Macaca mulatta: one gene and its partner. The protein of the gene in region 1 binds, or shares a complex with, the protein of each later gene. Links are inferred from orthologs where the notes say so. Each region holds a gene or a part of one and is shown in the gene's direction. Other genes may lie near its edges.

Evidence for each region. The genes of interacting proteins can lie anywhere in the genome.
Region 2: the proteins of RAB11A (region 1) and SH3BP5 are in contact, whole or in part, in a crystal structure (PDB 6IXV), measured with the Homo sapiens proteins. The link is inferred for Macaca mulatta from reciprocal best matches to the Homo sapiens genes RAB11A and SH3BP5. Residues at the interface, in NP_004654.1 of Homo sapiens: Tyr8, Asp9, Tyr10, Leu11, Lys13, Glu35, Phe36, Asn37, Leu38, Glu39, Ser40, Ser42, Thr43, Ile44, Phe48, Lys58, Gln63, Trp65, Tyr73, Ile76, Ala79, Arg82, Gly83; in NP_004835.2 of Homo sapiens: Asp42, Ile45, Gln46, Leu49, Glu50, Asn53, Thr56, Ile59, Asn60, Glu63, Thr64, Glu67, Lys240, Tyr243, Leu247, Leu250, Glu251, Ile253, Ser254, Asp255, Ile257, His258, Arg261.

What each region holds. Positions count from the first base shown.
Region 1 is NC_133412.1:43,337,860-43,340,436, forward strand, and holds the end of RAB11A (ras-related protein Rab-11A), read left to right. Parts: intron 1-248; coding exon 249-388; 3' UTR 389-1,946; downstream 1,947-2,577. UniProt on the Homo sapiens protein: The small GTPases Rab are key regulators of intracellular membrane trafficking, from the formation of transport vesicles to their fusion with membranes.
Region 2 is NC_133407.1:33,153,715-33,157,860, forward strand, and holds the start of SH3BP5 (SH3 domain-binding protein 5), read left to right. Parts: upstream 1-1,334; 5' UTR 1,335-1,512; coding exon 1,513-1,650; intron 1,651-3,358; coding exon 3,359-3,421; intron 3,422-4,146. UniProt on the Homo sapiens protein: Functions as a guanine nucleotide exchange factor (GEF) with specificity for RAB11A and RAB25. Inhibits the auto- and transphosphorylation activity of BTK. Plays a negative regulatory role in BTK-related cytoplasmic signaling in B-cells.

The sequences.
Region 1 (2,577 bases):
TTTATTTGACTGGTGAACCTTTCCCTCTGAAATGGAAAAACCTTTGTTTCTTTTCTTACCCCAAGGGCAATTGTTAAAGGGTTGAACCTAATCAGTGACTGTTTGAAAATAAAACTTTAAATTTATGTATTCTCTGTTCAGTTTCCTTATGGTCTTTGATGCAAATATATCTCCTACCTCTATGGATCTTTTATCCTAACTATGATAGGTTATTCACGCTAAGTATTGTGATTTCTTTTTTCCTTCAGAGATTTACCGCATTGTTTCTCAGAAGCAAATGTCAGACAGACGCGAAAATGACATGTCTCCAAGCAACAATGTGGTTCCTATTCATGTTCCACCAACCACTGAAAACAAGCCAAAGGTGCAGTGCTGTCAGAACATCTAAGGCATTTCTCTTCTCCCCTAGAAGGCTGTGTATAGTCCATTTCCCAGGTCTGAGATTTAAATATATTTGTAATTCTTGTGTCACTTTTGTGTTTTATTACTTCATACTTATGAATTTTTCCATGTCCTAAGTCTTTTGATTTTAGCTTTATAAAATCATCTACTTGTCCCGAATGACTGCAGCTTTTTTTCATGCTATGGCTTCAGTAGCCTTAGTTTAATAAACTGAATGTTTGGATTCCTCAATTATTGTTTACTTTTTATCATGGAAGCCTGTCACTGTACGTAGGACATAATAGAACTTGATCACTTGAAGCTCAGGCCTATTGGTCTTGATCAAATCAAACTAAGACGACCTTAGAAATAAGTTACCATTTTGCCACAGAGCAGCTTATCGGTAATACACTCTTCTTTCAATGCAGTGTATATTTCCACAAATATAAGAATTGCCCTATAAACATAGCAGGATTTTGAGAGCTTGAAAATTTTCCATTATCTGGACATGAATTTCTAAAATGCCTTAATAGGTTTATGTAGTTGAGTAAATTTTGTTTTTTAATTTTTGTAAGCATCAAAGTTGATTAGAGAGGGGGGGCACTTTTTCTGGAGAATTCTCTTAGTAAACACAAGAGATTGTTACGGTTTCATTAGTAGTATGGTTATGGGGCCGTAAGTTAAACAGTGCTGCCTGGCAGGCTGGGAACTGGAGGGACTTGTGGAATTCCATCTCAGGTGCCTCTGTTGCAATGATCAGGCAGCCCAAAAGATTTAAATGATCTATAATAATTTCCAAGCAGTAGATGATGTGGCCTTTTATTGCTCAGGCAATAACTGGTTTAATGCTGGTAGTGTCAAATTTTGAAGTGTTAATTTTGTCTTAAAACCTTCCAGTAAGTGAAATGCAACCTAGTTTTATCACCATATCCACCAGCAGGCATGGATAATTATTTTAACAATGCTAATATTTGAGTTTTGCAGTATATTATGGAATATAGTCCAGTTAAATCTTTGGTTTCAGTATGTCTGAAGAATACAGTGAGAGGTTAATTTTTGCTCAAGTGGTACCACTTAAAGGCATGTATTCTTTTAGTATGTAAAATGAAATAGTACCTTGAGTTTAAATAGAATGCATTTTAGGCATTGTAGAGACCTGAAATAGTACATTGTTGAAATCCATGAAGCAATTAGTTTCTCATTCAGAAATGTGCACACTAATATTTAGTTTTGCTTTCTCGTGGATAATATTAAGCACTTACTCTGCAGTTTCCTGGAAGTGGTGTGTCAACTGCAGTGATACTATTCAGGATGGTGGGAAATCCCCCGAAATATGTATGTGTGGGCTTGCTTAGATTACTATATTTCATAGTTAATCTTTTGTCTCTTGCAGTGCTCATGATGTGTGGGGCACACGGAAGGCATTGCTGTAGTCAGTCATTTTGGTTTTCTTCTATAGCCATTTTATTATTTTAGTGTATTGGTTATGAAGATAATATTATCTGTTTGTAAATTGCTACTTTGTATTTTATGCATGCTCTGTAATTTGATTTTTTTTTTTTTTTTAGTTATTGATTTGGAATATATTCACATTCTAATAAACAGTTATAGGGGGATTATTTCTTATGTTGTCAGATTACATTTTTCCTTTGAGTGCTTTGGATGCAGCCATGGAATCCTGATGTAAAAGCATAGGTTCTTGCATTACTGAGTAAACATTGAATTGGGAGCATCAGTATGTGAATTCAGCTTTGATTTTAGACCTGCAGTTCAATTATGTTTTTCTTGGAAAAAGTATGTCCAAAAACATTAGGAAAGTAGTGTGTACTTTCATATATAACAGAGTCACCAGACCCAGGAAAAGAATCCATCTCTATTTTATTGAAAGTTGGTGGTAAATTTTTTACAAAGTAAGGAGAAAGGAGAAAAACTAAATAGTGAATTGAAAATGAATAAAGTAACTTAGAATTTTTACCCAAGTGTAGACCTAAATGTTGCTTTGGGTATGGTTGGATCTTGGGAGAATTCCAGGAAATATTAGATATTAGAAAATGACTTCAATTGCATTTCAACAGGTGTCTTTGTTCTGAGTAATATCTAAGGAGACAAACTGTCTCAAGCAAGAAACAATACATTTTTAAATATTTTGACAATTCAGGGCTTACGGCAGTTTAGAAGTATTTTGCTACTTGACCT
Region 2 (4,146 bases), on another chromosome or scaffold:
GAGCAATGAGCAGGTCTGACCTTTTTAGAAACAAACCATGGCACTACCTCCAGAAAATAGGACAATTTTCCTTTGACAGTGGACTATAGTGCCAGCGTGTATGGGGTGGTGCCTTTCCCTAGGAGTAACCCTCTAGCCTACTTTTTGATAAAACCACCAGAAGCAGGACTATTTATTTATTTGAGAAGGTGTCTGGCTGTATTGCCCAGGCTGGTCTTGAACTCCTGTCCTCAAGTGATCCTTGTATCCTGGCATCTCAAAGAGCTGGGATTACAGATATGAGCTACCATGTCGTGCCAGACACAGGTTTTGTAAGGTGGTTTTGATGATAGGTTCTCAGAAAGAAGCTCCATTCTCAAGCAAATTTGTCCACCAAACTCAGAGCAGATGGGCTACAGGCCTCCGTGTAGAACATGTGCACGTTCTGCATTTCTCAAAGGAAGGAGATGTGAGCAGCTATGTGCTCACCTGCTTTGCCAAGGTCATCCTTTGGGTTCCCCTGACATCACAGTGGCCCTGACATTTCATAAAAGCACACACATGCCTCTTCAGTTTGGTCTTTTCGGATGCTGTGTCTGCCAGGCCAACTCTGTCTCCCTACTTGTTGATGGTGGGCAGGAAGTCTCACTAATTCATAAATTCTTGGCCAGAGTGTGCCCATCAACAGGGGTTACACTTGCCACCTCCTTAAAAAGGCTGTGTCTGCCCACAGGCATCCCAGCTCAATGCATTCTCCATGCTTCCTGGCTATTCAGGTAGGACCGCCGCACCTCTGTGTTTGGTACGGGGCTCGCCCAGAGAGGCCGCAGCCTTCGGCGATGCATCCGTGCACGGAGCTGCAGCTGGCTCTCCTCTCTACACTCCTGTGTCTATATAAGCGCACATTTTAGTTTGCTTTTCTGGGGAAATCTTTGAGTAGGTGCCATTCCCAAGGTTCGCTCAAGGGGAGGAATGTGCCTTTGGGTACAGGGTTTCGGCAAGTCTTGGTCCTGAGGTCCAGGGTCACTAAGCCCAGGCTTCGGAAGGCGACTTCAGCGTGAAAACACCCCACGCCTCCTACCACACACAACGCGCTTCGGAGGAGGGCGGGAGAAGGGGACTCCCGAAAGCGGGAGGCTTGCGTTACGCAGTTGAGATATATCCGGGCTGCTAAGTTACAAGGGGGTGGGGGCTCTCCTAATTTGCCACCTTGGAGATGTGGAGGGAGCTGGGGTTTTGTGACGGAGACCTGGGTAGCTGGGACTGGCCGAGGAGCGCGCGGCCGGGGCGGGACGGGGGCGGAGCGGGCGCTGCGCTGACTGCCGCGGCAGAAAGGGGGCGGCCGCGCCCATTTCCTCTGCTCCGCCGCGGCCAGAGGGATCCGCATCGGCGAGCTGTGCCTCCCGGGTGTCGGCCCCGGCGGCTCCCTGATCGTGCCCGGCTGTGGCGAGGCGGCTCCAGCCCAGCCTGTGGCGGCCGCTACCTCCAGGGCGCTCCGGAGCCCACTGCGCGGCGCGCGTGGCGACTGCCCGCATGGACGCGGCACTGAAGCGGAGCCGCTCGGAGGAGCCAGCCGAGCTCCTGCCGCCTGCACGGGACGAGGAGGAGGAGGAGGAAAAGGGGATGGAGCAGGGGCTGGAGGAGGAAGAAGAGGTGGATCCCCGAATCCAGGTAGGGCGCGCGGGGTCACCCCGCATCCGGGCTTCGCGAGGGCTGCTGCGGAGGTCGGCGTCTACGCGTACATCCACTTCGCAGCCCCCAGTGACTGTGGTCTGGGGACTGGCGGCCACATACGGTGGCAGGAGACGATCTGTATGCTCTGTTTCATCGTCTCCACAATGAGGAGGCTACAGTGCCCGCGTGGATGCGGCCTGACTCTATTGCGGGGAGCCCCCCGCAGACCCCTAGCAGGATCGGGGTCGCCGCAGAGTGCCTGGTGGTTCGGGCGGATGTGCAACAAAGGGAAAAAGGGGGCGGGGGCGCCATGGTATCCTCGGGGGTACCCCCCGCCCGGCCACCACGGCACCGCGGGCAAGGCATGGCCTCCAGGCTCTGCGAGGAGGGGTCGCCCGCGTGGGCGCCGGGCACCGTAGGCGGGTGGGCGTTGCCCGCCCCTGCAGCGCGGGCTGGCACTGGTGCCCCGGGTGCAGAGTCCTCACCTGCCAAGGTGCCCGGCCTGAGCCGTTTTCCTTCTCTGATTCATTGTTAGAGAACTGAGCGTCTTACTGTCACCACCGGCTCAACGTTCCGCCTGGCCTGAAATTGCTTAAAACCCTGCTTTTCCTTGTTGTGAGGCTGGGCATGAACAGAAATCAGGGACAACTGATGCGCAAAGCTGACGCGTGGAGGCGGCGAGGGGATTGGGCTGGCTGACTGTGCCTCCATTTCCAAGAGAGATGATTAAAAAACAATTTCCAAGCCGAGATCTAGGAGTGACAGTTTAACCTCTTCACCCCGAAGCAAAAAGCAGAGCAGATCCCTTTCTAAGACCCGTTTTATTCTACCTTTTCAGTAAATCATTTTTAAAAAATTGCTTTTAAGCATGCTCTGTAATTTCTGGATCCCTAATTGGTTTTTTAGTGCACAGATCAATTTAAAAGCTCACTTAACTCAGTGGTTAGGGTTTAAATGAATTGTTTTGTCAGGTTAGCAAGATAAAGATCAGGTGGAAAAAAAAAACCTTGCATTAGGAATGCTATTAATTAAAATAATTGGTTTGGAATAAATCGTGTGTTATTGGTATGGGATTATGTTAGCAAGATCCTTTGTTTGCATAGTAAAGATGAGTTAAGTTCATGTTGGATGCTTTTTACAAAATGTCAGTTTGTAAATGTTTATTGAAATGAATGGGATTAAAGCTAGTTTAAAACATCCAGCTAAGTAGGTTGAATAATTGGCAGTGTGAAAAGATTTTCACCCTTTACAGAAAAATAATTCTGGTGAGTTAATACCAGAATTCTGCCCTTGATGATTTCACTGGGTTTATATTTTTGGCCTGGCCTTGCTTATTGTCTTTTATTGTTTTCTAAGCAAAGTTCTTGCTCAAGGCAGATGGTGCTGTTTTGATGAGGCCATTAAACCATTTGTAACAGGTGGGATTTACCTGAAGGCACATACCTGGAATATTTGACCTCTGACAAATTCCAAATGTCTCTGAAGACATTGTCAAAAAGGATACCCTCAAGAAAATGGTTTCAGAAATGCTGACATTCATTTGCTTTTCTAGCTAAGCCTCAACTGTTTGCCTTAAGAATTAATACCAATTCTTCCCTTTTCCTGCAAACTGGGCTGGGATAATTTTTCAGGTTATGGACTGAGTTATATTGGAAACAAAAGACGGATCCCGTAAGTCTTTTTCTCTCCCTCTTTTCTTCACCAGGGAGAACTGGAGAAGTTAAATCAGTCCACGGATGATATCAACAGACGGGAGACTGAACTCGAGGTACAGAGAGCTGAGTTCCTGTTCTTGGTGAAGTGATGTCACTCACACCGGCACAAGGCTGGTTAATTTTGTCTTCATAGCTGGAGGGTTATTGCTGGACCCCCCTCCTTGGGAGTTGAGCAACAGCTCCCTGACAGAATAAAATACACCACTGAGCTCAACCTGTGGGCGGAACGCATGTGGATCCAATTTCACATGTTGTTTTTCATTATGGAAGCTCCATGGGGCCTAAATCAAGTCTGTGCAGAGCGTTACACAACGCCTAAGCCCCAAGTTTTCATGTGACTGAAAGGATAGAGAGGAAAATTAGCTGAACTCTTTAATGAAGAATAATGAATGAGCTCACAAAATCTCTTACATGTTCAGGGCGGTTCCTGCCATTTGTCCTGGAAAGGTTGTGTTGTTTCCTCTGACTTCGACCATTTCTTGACTTTCCTGTCCTAATAACTCACCCCCACCTTCTGCTTTCCTGCTCATTTCTTTATTGTCTGCTTGTGCATAGAATATAATTATAATGGTAACAAAAAGCTGTTTAGACTGGAAAGGCCTTTCCTACTGGGAAAAATCTTGGAAGACTAAAACTTGATTTAGGTTTCATGTGCATTTTCCAACCGGAGTGTAAACAAGTTAGCATTCATCACAGCCTCTGATTAGTTTCCACCCCTTTCCAGTAGTGGTTGCTTTTACCACCCATCAGCAAATTTGAACAACCACTGTATGTATTC